2 linked regions of the Medicago truncatula genome follow. The main gene of each other region encodes a partner of the protein of the gene in region 2 in a complex. Links are inferred from orthologs where the notes say so. Each region holds a gene or a part of one and is shown on either strand. Other genes may lie near its edges.

Evidence for each region. The genes of interacting proteins can lie anywhere in the genome.
Region 1: probable chlorophyll(ide) b reductase NYC1, chloroplastic (region 2) and red chlorophyll catabolite reductase, chloroplastic share a complex: the UniProt entries of both Arabidopsis thaliana proteins name them as parts of the SGR1-CCE-LHCII complex. The link is inferred for Medicago truncatula from reciprocal best matches to the Arabidopsis thaliana genes NYC1 and ACD2.

Annotation. Positions count from the first base shown.
Region 1 is NC_053046.1:43,224,596-43,232,025, forward strand, and holds red chlorophyll catabolite reductase, chloroplastic, read right to left. Parts: upstream 3,446-7,430; 5' UTR 3,414-3,445; coding exon 3,066-3,413; intron 1,700-3,065; coding exon 1,088-1,699; 3' UTR 909-1,087; downstream 1-908. UniProt on the Arabidopsis thaliana protein: Catalyzes the key reaction of chlorophyll catabolism, porphyrin macrocycle cleavage of pheophorbide a (pheide a) to a primary fluorescent catabolite (pFCC).
Region 2 is NC_053047.1:40,286,576-40,294,005, reverse strand, and holds the start of probable chlorophyll(ide) b reductase NYC1, chloroplastic, read right to left. Parts: upstream 4,440-7,430; 5' UTR 4,293-4,439; coding exon 3,945-4,292; intron 3,324-3,944; coding exon 3,245-3,323; intron 3,088-3,244; coding exon 2,952-3,087; intron 2,842-2,951; coding exon 2,767-2,841; intron 2,666-2,766; coding exon 2,470-2,665; intron 2,097-2,469; coding exon 2,028-2,096; intron 1,936-2,027; coding exon 1,796-1,935; intron 1,327-1,795; coding exon 1,204-1,326; intron 977-1,203; coding exon 784-976; intron 103-783; coding exon 1-102. UniProt on the Arabidopsis thaliana protein: Involved in chlorophyll b degradation. Belongs to the chlorophyll catabolic enzymes (CCEs).

The DNA.
Region 1 (7,430 bases), on a different chromosome or scaffold from region 2:
TAGAATGAATTTGAGTTTTTTATTCTTTTGGATTTTTTAATTTTTTGGGTTAATTTTATAAATATGATGAAGATTTGTGAAGATGGGGATGAAGATAGAGAAGAAGGGGATGAAGAAAAGAGGAGGAAAATGGTTGGTTATAAGATATAGTAATATGCAAGATCCAATGATTTCATTTTTAACAAAATTAAAAATCAAATGGTTTACATTAAAAAATTTATTGAGGTTTTTGGTAGAGCAAAGTGAAATCAAATAAATAGTTAAGAGATTAAAACACTAATGTATTCGAAGATCCAAAAAAGACCTTACAAACATTTTGAACAAAATAAATTGTGTTTTTATTTCTACAAAAAAGACAATGTTTGATGTTTTTTTAAGAAGTCAAACTAGCCTACTAAAATTGGCACCGGTGAGAATCGAAAAGAGAACACTCAAATATCGAAACCAACAACACCAGACCAACACAAATGGGTTCATAATGTTTGGATGTTATTTAACGATGTTAAAAGAGATTATGGTCGACGGGGTGTTATATGGAATTCATTTGGTGGAGGAGCTGAGTGTATGTAGTGATGATGTTCAAGTTATTTTTGGTGGTGATAATATTTTTGACTATCTGATTGCTTTGGCTTGGACGACGGCAACCATGATGTATTGATTCCTTTGGCTTGGACGGCGGTGACCGTGATATAAATATACTTGTTAAGAAATTTAAAGACAATTCGTCAGAAACTTAAAGACAATTGGTCAGAGCCGGTCTAATAATCTTGAAAAGTAAGTGAAGCCTAACACAAATTTTGACATAGGAGACCTTTCTTGTTATAACATTCAAGTAGGGGACAGTTGCTTGAAGTGGAAATGAAAAAGATTTGAACCATTCTAACACCACCAACAAACGCACAAAGCAATTATCGCAGACAAACATATGAAATTAAAATATCACTCACTTAATTAATAAGCTTTAGTAATGCTAGTAAAATACTTACACAGATATCTAATTCATACTACAAACTCTTTCGAAGTCGCAGAAGCACACAACTCTTTCAAAGTACAAACTATCATTTACAATTCCAAATAAACTTGCATCTCAAACAGTAAAATACTCCTTGATAGCTTCCAGTATCTGTTTTGCTGCTTCTGGACCAAACAACCTTGGAAAGCTTGAACCAAGATCAACCTCAATAGTCTTGTTTCTAATAACACCATCTCTTTTTATCAGATAAGCTTTATCTTCCTCTCCTACTTCTCTCTCGGCACAGGCACAATGATCCAACCATATCCCCAACACTTGCTTCGAAACCGGGTCAATATGGTTCTTGATGATCTCGTCTATCCGCTCTCCTTCATCATTTTCTGTCTGAATGCGAACAAATATAGCCGTTGGAGATGCAACGCTGCGGATGAAAAGCGAAGAAGTGATATAAGGTTGAACCTCTGGAATTTTTTCCAAAGCCTGTTTATGTGTATCCAGTTTAGTGTCCTCATAGAAAGTTTTAAGGTAATCTGGCCAAAGAACAAGGTCTTTTCGAGGTGGTAAATCAAGAACAAGAATTAGCATTGTTGGACTGCTTCGGATCAGCTCGAACACGAAATTTGGTGCATCATTTGAACTGTTAAGATAGGCTGAAAGAGATGTTATATCTAATGATCCTCCTGTTGGTAGCTCAGCATGCACCCAGCTTCCCATTACAAAGTCTATCTGAGACATACAACAACAACAAAAATGAACAGTGAACAACAAATTCAGAATAAAACAATAATTAGACCACGTGTTGGATAAACAACTTGGTTAAACGCTTATAACATAAGCACTTAACATATAATAAAACAATCAATTGAGTCAAAATATTTTTATATACTCTATGGAGCTGTTTTCATAAACCTATCCTAGAGAACTAATGGAAAAATAAGCTGAAAACAAGCTATAGACATGTCATAAATTGTTTTGAGAATTTCTATCAAACAGTTGCATAAGTGCTTATGTCAGTAGGTAAGCTCAAATAAGCTAATCCAAACAGGCCTCATGAACATTATGTTTCTTCAACATAAGGAAGTTCACTGAAATAACAAATCATTTATGAAGAAAAGTAGATGTGAGGACATCTGCAGTGCCTATTTGTAGATAGTTAGATAGATAAGTTAATGATTTCCTTAACAAGTAATTAAAATAATCTCAACAACATACAAAAAAATTACCCAAACAATCACAATTAAGGAACTATTACATCTACCAATCAGTGCAATACTTTAAGAATCACAAGACACTGCTAAAATAACTATCTTCTCCGTATAAGAAAGATAAGTATATATGTAATGATAGTTAATCAAGGCTTAGGCTACAATATTAAATGTAAATTATTCAAATTCAAGAAACGTAGAAAAGAGAAAATAAAAATCTACATTGCCAATTTGATTCAGTGGTCCGTCATTATCTAAAGTAAGCAACTAATTTTAGAGAGTAAAGTTACTGATATCAACTATTAACAACAAGAATAAAGATTGATAGACACCCCTTTGTATCACTCTGAAAATTTTCAGTGTTTGTGTGACCACATTTTTCAGTTGCGTGACTCCTATTAGAAGCTGAAAAATGTGGTCACGCAACTAAAATGCACGTGACCACTATTTTTCCACTTAGTTAACCAAATAAATTTTGGAAAACTAGTGGTCACGCAACTAAAAAAATGTGATTACACATACCATATATTTGATCAACTGAAATTTTTTAGAGTGGTACAAAGGGATGTACGCATTAAAGATGTCTACCTATCATATTGCTAATGTATTATGCAAATAACCAAATTAAGTGGTTGAAATCACAACTCTTAATTTTTCTCATCTTAGTAACTACTCACCTTAGAGGAGAAACATGGTTGATAGAGTGTCTAAAGTGAGTTTGGATAAATATTTATTAAAAACGTTAACATAATCTATGATAAATATTTAGTGTACTTAACCTAATAAAATAACATAACAATAAGTTAAGTACCTAGTTCTCAACCAAATATATATACTCTAACTTGAAAATATGGAATTTTGAGAGCAAAAAGTAGAAAGGAAATTACAGGGGAATCAGTGTTGCTTGGTCTAATATGCAATGAAACTTGAGAAGTACCATTCTTGCTCTTATAGTATTGAACATCAGGAGGAAGTGAACAAGGAAGAAGATGAGATTCAAAGCGATCTTCAACTGTTGAAACAAGATCAAGCATGAGATTCTTGTGGGGTGCTGAAACAAATGGAAATTCCAAAAATTTGCTACGACCTTGCTTCTTCTGAGTATCCATTATAGAGCAAGAAACAGAAGAACGAGAAGTGGAAAGATATAACCTTGATGAAGAAAAAGAAGAAGAAGAAGAAGATAAGATGGAAAGTGATGAATGTTGGAAATGGCTACAGATCATCACTACCATTGTGTAACCAAAGACAAATGTTTATGTCTTTGTACTTTATTGTTTTTCTACTTTTTATGTTCTTTTTTTTGTCATTAATAATGTTTTTTGAAAATTATTTTTCTCACATCAAGTTTTACTTAAAAGGAAATGTTAAAAAAATAGAAATTTTATCTTGAAAATTGTGTATTTAACACATTGAAAATATTAAAAAGCAACTTTATTTACATAAAAATTATCAATTGTGTCTATTTTTGGATCCTTAACAAGTGTGCTAAAGGCACTCGTTAACAATACCCTTACACACATGGAAAATATAATTTTTACCTCAATTGAAGTTCCTGGCAAAGCATCAATTGCGATATTGTGCATTTTGGTTAAAAAATTAAAATAAAGCAGAGCTTATTCAAAATGCTACGAAATTTTACCGATCCTCTATATGTATTTTTATAGAGGAGTCTTTTAAAAAACAATCTCTAACATTGAATTCTAGGTCGATGTTTTGAAATTTTGGTTTCTTGAGTTTTTGGCGCATTAAAAAATCATATTTAATTCATCCCTTGTTGGGTAATTATAATTTTTGTGTTGGAGATGTTGTTTTTATGTCCTAGACATGTGTGCGAAAAATAATGAAAAAATTCGACCTCTATGTCACTTTTTCGGACTTGCACTTGGGAAAAAATTGCGATTTTGTGCTTTTCGATCGAAAAATCAAAATAAATCAAGGCTTAGTTGAAATTCTATGGAAACTTTGCAGAAACCTCTATAAAAATATATACAGGGGATTTCAAAGTTTCATAGCATTCCGAATAAGTCTTGACTTATTTTGATTTTTTGATTGAAATGCGCAAAATTGCAATTGATGTTCTGTCAGGTACTGCACTTAAATGCAGCTGAGCCAACTACAACTAGCTCGGCGGTAGTTAACCACAACTCGCTTACTGAGCGCTAGTTAACTACGGCCGGAGATAAAATGGTATTTTCTATGTGTTTTTAAGCAAAACTTGATGTGAGAAAAGCAATTTTCATGTTTTTTTTGTTTGATGGACTTTTGCAATAGGCCTAATATTTCCATTTGCGCCCTATTTTAGCATCGATAATTTGATTATACTTTTTATACATATTTGTTTTTTATTTTAACATGTAATAACAAATGTTTTATTTATTATTCATGAGAAACTATAAAATGAAAATAAAAATTGAATTAGTCTTAAAATTTATTTTAATTTAATATATCTCTCTTTTAAATACTTTTCATTCCCTTATGCAGTGAATACACTAGCACATCTTGATGACAAGAGTGACAAGTCCATTCAAATAAACCAAGCTCCAACTCCCCCACTTCCAAGTGGTATTCCCACATATAAAATTGAGATTGTAAATACATATATTAATGTTACCAAGCCAGCCAAACCAAAGAGAAAAATCAATGAATTACAACATATTGTATATTTGTATTAATATGATAAATGCGTTTCTGTCCCTTGAGAGGAAGAATACCTTCTCTTTATGCAGCCTACTAGTATTAACATATATCATTATCTTATTTTGAAAATGTTAAGGTTCAATCAAAAGATGAACTTGAAAGATTTTTCTTATTGAAGAGGCTGAAAGATTATCTCAATGGTTGTTACAAAAAAAAATCTAAATCATCTCTAATTGTATGATACAAAATTTTGAAATTGCTAGAGATTTTCACGATTCATTAGTTTTTATATTATTACAATAAATTATATTTTATTTTGTATCTGGTCTAGCTGCCAATACTTACTCAATTGAACACACATACACAATCATAAAAGATGTGGTGACCGAGTTCGAACTCATCATACACGATTAACCCTACTTCTTTGTACTTTCTTTCTTTTCAATTTGTTTTATACTACAACCACCCGTTGTGCTAGGTTCACTCATCCAAATTGCTACATCTTTTTCTTTGGCTTCATGATTCTAAATATCTGGTGTGCCCAAAATGCTAATTGAATATGATATATTGTAATGATTTTGAAATTAAATTTTGTGGAAGATAGATGCTAGTTGGAAGGTATATGATATCGCCGGATGGAGGGACTGTGTGGGAGTGGGGTGGCTAATAATTGATTGATTTTAGTAGGTGGTTAATTCAATCAAGAGTTATTCGTTAATAATTAAATTAGATTAAATATTTTAATCAAATAAATTTAGTTATCATCAATTAATAATATTTTTTCTTTTTCTCTCAAAAAAAAATTAATAATATTTTTTTTTATAAATTGTTTAATTATAGTATTGATCCCTCTATTTTGATCCGTTTATATAATTGGTTATCAATTTCAAAATCATTCAGTTTTGATTCCTCCGTACAAAATTTGTCCACAAATTAGAAAATGCGTCTCCTTTATAATGATATAGCATATATGTTGTTGATGTGTCTTAATCTACATGTGTAATTACAAGACATGCCATTATTTAATAACCCAAAATTAAAATAACAAATTTAAGTTGCAAAATTAAAACTAAAAAAAAACAGATTGAGATATATTACAACCCTAAATCTCCAAATCTACAATCATCGTTCTTCATATATGTTGTTTTCTTCCTCGTGTTAGGCTATACCCGGGTTTTTCAAGATGTTTATGGTTTGAAATTTGTTCTTCAACCTTGAAGATCTCCGGTTTGAATCTAGCGAAAAGAGAAATTTTATGAAAATTAGTTTTTTGATGAATAATTTAATTTTTGAAATGCATTTATTTTATTTTAGGTGAATTTCAATTTAAATTTGAAAACATGGATGCATATAAGTTATGCTCAATCCAATTAGACATTGCTACATCATCATATCACTTGTTATTATTATAACTTCAATTTTTTTTTTGAATTCAACATATCTGACTTTCGCACAAAAAAGGACAAATGTTAGAGATTAACAAAAATGAAGAGCTACTAAATTAATCTTGAATTTAGAAATGAACATACAAAAACCCTAAATAAAATAAGACGGGCAACCCTTAAACTTAAACCTTTATAAGGACAACATTAAAATATTAAACCTATAAAATATATGCAATCATATCAACAATGTGTACTACTAGACATATATGCATAATTTAACCCCTTCAAACTTTTTGTTCAAACTCTAATTAACATGGGGAAGTTGACAAAAAATGCATCGTCTGTTCTCCAACAGACAAATTGCGGAACAAGTTAAATATGCAAGACCAGCTATCTCTATCAATATTGATAAATATGTATGGTCTAAAGTCTGAACTTAAGATTCGGAGAAATGTCTTGTCCTAAAAGAAAACTCAATTATTTTATAACCGAATGATTATTCAAAGGAAGTATTTAATCTGATGATGAGACACTAGTTGCCAATATATATATGTACAACACGTGATGAAGGGACCACAGTAAAATTATGTACATATAGTAATTAGTCATACGTAGTGAAATCAAATTAAGGATGCATGTTTAGTCATAGCATGTGCATTTGGTTTTAATTAAAGCTTCTTGCAGGGACAAATGCTAGCAAGTAGGCAAATAAAATGTGAGCTAAAACAAATATATTGTAAAGAATTTCAACTTGAGTTCATATACTTTTGTTTAACATAGTAGTACTTTTAAAACATATTCAAACAGTGTGATATAATTAAATTAGAGGTGGGTTTTGGTATAGGGTGTTGGTGGCGAAATATGGTGAGGTGGTTGGGCGGTTGGAGGATGGGGGCCGGAGTGCTTTTTCTTGGTGGAGGGAGTTAATGAAGATTAGGGATGGGGTCAATGGCGATACCGGTGGTTGGTTTGGTGAAAGGGTGTCGAAGGTGGTAGGTTGCGGAAACAACACGTTGTTTTTGTGTGATAATTGGTTAGGAGGTGTCCCTTTGTGTAGAAGGTTTGGTCGCTTGTTTGAACTAGCAACAAATAAGTTGAGTACTGTGGCCGATATGTGTGTTCATGGTTGGGAGGATGGGGGAGAAGCGTGGAGTTGGAGGAGAAGGTTGTGGGTGTGGGAAGAAGAAATGTTAGAGGAGTGTAGGCAATTACTTGATGTTGTATTTG
Region 2 (7,430 bases):
GTTCTCTGTGTACATTTCCATTGCATCGGTGAAGGAAAACCGTGCGCGGTTTTCGGCCCAGTTTCTTAGTCGGTCTGCTTCGGCTGAGTATAATGCTCTTCCCTGAAATATGCATATAGCTCTAAGTTCTTGCAATCTTGCTAAATTATTCAACAATTTCATTGCTATGGAAAAATGGATTTTGTCCATGAGGAACACACAGCTTAATCAAGAGAGTTGTTACAAAACAACTTAATCACAATTATATTGTAAGCGTGTATGAAACAGATTGTCTGACAGAACATCAACAAATGCAATTACATTGAATCACTTCTATTTTTAAAATTACTATCAATCACTATGTGTTTGTGCCGTGTCTTGTGTCCGTGTCAGTGATTCATAGGCAATTACTAGCATAAATTTCACTTTTGGTCCCTTCAGTTATTTTTAAGTTTCACTTTGCTCTTTTATGTCAGTTTTCCGTTTTAGTTCTTCAAATTTCTAATCACCAAGGTCGAAAATATAATGCCAAGTAGGAAACATTTGACAGACTCAAACAGAAAACTGAGAAATGATGTTAAGTGCCTGATATTTGTAACTTAAGGGACTAATATGAAACCAAAAAATATTAACGGCCCAAAGTGACTAACATTTGTAAGTTAAAGGATTAAAATGAAAGGAAAATACTTAAGCGACCAAAAGTGTAATTTAGCCTAATTAATATATTCAAAGATGAGCATTTACATGAAAGAATACCAAGTAATTAAAGTGTACTTCAACCTCAAAATAATCGTCATTACATACCTCATCATCAAACCAGCGACCTCGCCGTAACCATGCGGTGACCAAGGCAAGCAAGATTCTAGGAGGAGTCAAGTAATTGATGGCCTTGCCTGTTCCCTTAACGACTCGCATCCGTGGAACTAATGTTCTAGCAACAGTTTCAGGAAGCTCGCATATGATATTAAACATTTGCTTGTTTTGAATAGTTGAACCACTGTGCAAATAAAGCCACACTTCTAACAATTATTAAACTAATTTAACTTAGATCAGAGAAAGTTACACAGACAAACACGAGAATGCTATTCGTTATTATAAGATTAAAAAAGACGAGTTGAAAATATAGTTGACAACAGAAAAAGAAGTTGGAAATTCCTACAGAAGAAGATTTCGGTACGCGGTCCATGCGAAAAAACAATACAAGTTTGCAAATAGAGATGTTACCTTAAAAGAAGTTCTGTGAGAACCATGCCGGGAGATGCAGTATGGACACCTACTTTCGATCGCTTGCACTCCGTCAATAGTGATCCATGAAATTGTCTAAGGCCGCATTTTGTAGAACCATAGCTACACAACAAATGAAATCATCATCCACCAGGACTTTTGAGAACACTCACTCATAGATACACGCAATCACGCATATTTCGAGTAAAAATGAAGAATGTCTCACTTACTTGTATTTTCATTAACTTAAATTTGTGTTCATTTTAAATTGCTAACAACGTGGTAGAAGACTGATGTAGTGAATATATGTGATAGAGAGAAGATAGAAGGATAGTTAGGGAGAATGCATTTTGAGAAACAGCAAAAACAATTTTTGGCATCTTCAAAATTTCTTAAAAAATGTTGAATCTGTTTTTAACAACTGTAAAAGGAAATGGTGAGAAGAGTATTGAATCTATATTCTATCATGTTTATTAGTTGAAGTAAAAATGAAAACAGGAATCATGAAAAAGTAAACAAGCCCTTAAATCGCAAAAGCTCAGTGGAATTAACATCCCAAGATAAGAAACAACAATATCAAGAGAATACTCACACGGCTGTCAGAGGTGTGCTAGAGCCTCCAGAACCTGCACCGTCCATATTAAATATGTGGCCTGGCTTGGTTTGGTTTCTCATAATACGCATGGCTTCTCGGGTACAAAGGATAGAACCAACCAAATTTGTCGAGACAATCTACAGAAATAAACCAACTTTTCAAGCTAAGGATGAAGATGAACAGCCTTTATATTCTAACAAAATAAAAAAGAAATTATGTAGCAACATACCTGTTTGATATCTTCATCGCTGAATTGAAGCAATGGTCTAAAACCTTTATTTGTTCCAGCATTGTTTATCTGTTGAGTAGTTTGAATAAAAATACAATACGAAAAATTAGATTAGGACCAAAAAGCAGAAACCACACTCAGCAAGAAATAAGGAATCCAATATAAAACTTTCATTGAAGTGATAACAAAATCGATAGTAGGGTTCATTAGCTCAATGATGCTCAATCTATGAAACACTGACACAGACACCGAGCAAGATACTAATACTGACACGCTGACACTTGTAAAAATATTATTTAAGAAAATGAAAGTGATTGAATGTAACCACGTGTGTCAGTATCTTGTTGGCGTCTAATGCCGACACGTGTCAAGTGTCAAAGACACATTCAATCTCAAGTGTCAGAGCTACATAGTTCTCAACAGAAAGAACAGCCACACTTACCCAAATGTCAATATAACCAAGTTCGCTGACAGCAAAGTTTGCCAATCTCTGAACATCATTAGCCTCACAAACATCACAAGCAATGCCTACAACTTTTGCTTGAGAAAGCTTTGTCAAAGATGAACCAACTGCATTGGCAATGCCTTCCTTTAGATTTTCCTCAAGCTCTTTGACAGTTGCTTGCACAGACTCAGGGCTGCCTTCACAAAATTCGAGAGCGGGAGCAAAAACACGTTGTGAGCAACAAAATATATTAATTTGATCTCTATAAAATGTTCTCATAGTTTGTGATACCACCTTCGTGAAGTAACAATCACACGATCTCCCGAAAGAAGAAACTCCCGCGCCAAAGCTTTCCCCAATCCCCTCGTACTGCACACAAATAAAGCAATGTCAGCATTAATTTTTTTTAAACATGCATCCAAATAAAGCTAAAAATGTTGGAAATCAATTTCTAGAATACTATCAGTGAGTGAACGTACCTTCCAGTTATGACAACATTACGCGGACCTTCGCGACAATAATCCTCCAACACCCAGTTAGCACCTATCATTGTCCCAATGATAACTCCTCCAAGCCAACTATACCATATCAGTGCATCCATCTGACTATCTCCACCTTCACAAAATTTCCAAAAAATCAACATCATATATGATATGAGGTATGATTGAACGTTAGTGTAAAACTTGTTTACACTATAGTTGGAAACTCGACTATAAGTGCAAATATTTTCAATACACATTCTAAAATAGGAAAGTAGAATATATATACCAACCTGACATCTGAAATCCAATTGCAAGGATGACACCAGTGCTCATCATGGTCACAATATATCTCCCAATCTGAACAGCAATCTTGTTTTCACAAATACAAGAACACGGTTATATTCAACATTCAAAATACAATACAACACAAAATTGAAAGTAAAAATTAAGTGGAAATAACACAACACAGCAAGAGCCTTTTTGGATTTGCTTATTTGAGCTTATCTACTAGAATAAGCACTTGTGACACCAAGTACTTGTGAGACTGTTTGGTTGGAATAATTTATGAAAACAACTTCTGTTTTCAGCTTATTTTTAACTTATTTCTGTAAGCTATTTTCAACTTATTTCCTGCAACTCTCCGAGATAATTTAAGAAAACAACTTATGGATAAGCACTTATTTTATCTTTTGTAATAGAAATAAGCTATACATAAGTTTCCAAACTCTCCAAGATAACATATGAAAACAAGTTATAGATAAACACTTAATTTTATCTTTTGTTATAGAAATAGCGTATCCATAAGCACTTATATGCTAAAACCACTCAATTAAGTTGGTAATCCAAACAGAATCAAGAATGATAGAACCTCATCAACCCTAACAAACAACTAGTACATAAATACATATATGATAAGTGCTTATGCTATATGAAACAATTAATTATCCAAACAGATTAAAAAATGATAAAACATCAAAAACAAGAACTCACCTTAGATAGAACTTCATCAACCCTAACAACAGCTTGTCTATACTCATCATCCAACTTAGAACCCATCATAAAATTTCCCAACAAAACATTTCTAAAATTACTCCAAAACCCATTTTCCCTTTGAACTTTCACTTCATTTTTCTTCAAATTTCTCAACTTTTTCTCCTTCACATCACCACCATCTTCACTCTTGAAAGCCCTACACTTTTTCAAACACAACCCACCAAAATTTTGTCCAAAACCAAACACCCCAGATGAAGAATTTGAGCTACCAAATCCATTTCTAAGCTTATGCTTATTCAAATTACACTCTGGAAAAACTTGAAGCTTAACAATTGTAGTAGCCATGTTTAAGATAAAAAGTTCATAAAAATGTTACAATATTATTGGTACATAAATGTGTTGAATTCATGTAACATGTTTGGTTTATTTATTGTTGTGATTTTGGTGAGAATTGATAACTATGTTTTTGTAATTTTGTGTGTTGCGAAAATATCTAACTGAGTAACACCGATTCATTGGAAAAATGTAACATAATAGTAACGTAAGAAGGAACATTATGGAATGTGATGACCACACGTTAAGAAACCTCATCATTATCGGTTATGGACACGTGGCATTGTGGGTCTTTAGACACGTCACTTTTTTCTTTTGTTAGTGTGAGGTGAAAAATGAACACTTTTTCTTTTGGATTTTTCTTAGACTTAGATAGATTATTATTGAAAGTAAATTATTGTTTTTTCATGTTAATCGTTCGCTTCTACGAAGAGAGTTCAATAATCTCTATGAGCTTAGTTCAATTATTAGAATGTGTGAACTTATTTTTCCATATTTAAAATGTGTGAGCTTCAACCTTATTTCTCCACGTTTAAAATGTGCGAGCTTCAACCACAAAATTATTTGATAAAAAGAAAGTCTAGGGTGCGTTTGATTTGATAAAAAATGAAGGACATGACAAAACAACTCCAATTGTCCAGTGTTTGATTTGTAAAACAGTTTCAGGGACATGACAAACTGGAGGCAAGGGACATGACAAAAGCTGCAATTTTTGTCCATCGCCAAACCACAGCACAACCTTTTGTCTCACGTACAAGTTTTCTAAAATACAAAAATAACATTTCGTCACCCAAAAATCAAATAATACAGAAAATTATTCAATACCATAAAAATTTGTATTGTGCTGTTCTGCCTTATATTGTGTTGTCCTATCTTGTACTGTTATGTCCAATACTTACTGTTCTACAAATCAAACACACCCTAATAGTCTAAAATTCAATCGATAGATAAATAAAATTTGATTAAAAAATTATTCCAGTTAAAAATATAATTTGAATTCTTTCGAACGATTTATCATAACTCATTTAATTCAAAATAAATTATTTTAGATTAAGAAAAGAAAAGATATAAAGTTAGGCAATTAATTTTATTAAGGGTTAGGGAATACATGTATGTCATATTTTAAGCACTTTTATATTTTATTTTTTAAATCATGGCCAACTATTGAAGTTAGTTGATTAGTTTTGTTTTTTATTGACAAAAAAGTTAGTTAAAGTTGTCTTAGTTTAGAGAAAAGAGAAGGATATAAGTTAGGCCTTTGAAATTTTAAGGTTAAGGAAATGCATGGATGTTATTTTTTAAGCATTTTTAATACATGGCCAATTATTGAAGTTTGTTTGTTTTCTTCTTTTTTGGCAAAAAAGTTAGTTAAACGATAAAGTTAGGGGAAGAAATGCATGTTAATGAATATATAATCTAGCTTTTTCGTTCGTTGGGGAAGAATTCATAATCTAGCACAAATGTAGTCTGATGGTTTTCTTTTACAATGAAATTTGTAGCAAGTTTTCATCGATGTTTATTAGTGATTAATCTCCGTTAAAGAATGTATGGGGTAAATAAATTGGGTTTTACTCTCTTAATCGGATTTTTTTCATACATACATAAAGAATTAAACCTTTGACTATATATTTTAAGATTTACGTGAGATATTTATTTGTTCCAACTTGGGAGCCAGGGAGATAGAGTTAGTTCAAACAATCAACTTGCGTGAGATATTTGTTCCAACATTTTGTATCTATTTTAGTTGAAAAAAACAAATTGTGTATGTAAATAGCTTGGCTTAGATTTGGGTTCAAATCTACTTTTTATTTTACGGTCAAATTTAGAGTTTTCTGCAATAAAATAAATATCTAGGGGGTGTTTGTTTCCTGGTTTAAAAAATTATTCCCAGGAATATGGAGGTTGGAATTATAGATTCCTATGTTTGTTACAAAGTTAAAAAAATAACTCCCGAAAATAAAGAATTCCTAGGAAAAAAATAACTTCCACTTACCCATGATTTTACTCCCAAAGAAAGTGGGCGGGAATAAAAGATTCCCATGTAAATGGTACTAAAATGGAAATAACTACCCATATACCCACTATCACAAACAATTCCCATGAATCTGACAATTATTTACCAAACACAATTTTCTAAAAATACTCAGGAATAAGATGCCCATTATTATTTCCCAGGAAAGGTTAATCCCAGGAATGAAATTTTAAACCGTCAAACAAACGCCCCCCTAGGGTTTTCTAGTATATTTCAAAAGCAAAAGTAGTTTCTCGTCTGTAGGATAAAGTAAATTTCATCTTAAATTTTTTTAACGACACATTAGTTTTTTTTTTTTTAAGGAAAAAAAAAAAACTAATATTAGTTGTTCTATCAATTTCTTTTTTTGAGGGAATATTATCAATTTCTTGTCATTCCCTAAAAAAAAAATTCCTGTCATGTGGTTGACCACGTATATTTAAAATGAATTGAGATATTTTGGTCCCTAAAAATATATTTGGGGACAATTTGGTCACCATATTTTTAAATCCCTTCAAATCACATAGTTTATTTTAAAATTTCTAACTTTAAAAAAATAACATCTTCTTGCTGCTTCTTTCTAGTTTTTACTAGTTGGATTGTGTTTTAGATTTTCTACATGTTTCGTTGGTTGTATTTTGGTGTTACCATAATATTTTGGATTTTGAAGTTGCATTTATTTGACCATTGTGTGTTAGACTTGCGGGTGCTATTGAGTTTGATAATGTTATGCACTTTGAATTTGATGGTAATGATGGATAGGGATTATGATGGTTTTTTTTCCCTCCAGATAAAGTGATTTTACGCACATCAAAGGATGATTCTGGATTCGAATTCGGATAGCCACGAAAAACGTTAGGTCTAACGATATCGGTATTTCCATTTGACATTGGCCTTACAAACAATGTTTGTTTTGTTCCATTTAAATGCAAATATTACTATCATCTATTATAATTAAAAATAAGAAAATCTCATTTTAGTCTCACATATAAATATGAGAAGCTCGTTTTAGTCCTTCTCAAAATAAGAAAAACATTTTTGTCCCTCAAAAGTAAATAAGCTGATAAATTAAGTTTTCATCAAGTTTAGGGACAAAAAGCATGAACAAACTGTGGTTTAATTAGCAGCAAGTTAGGGGA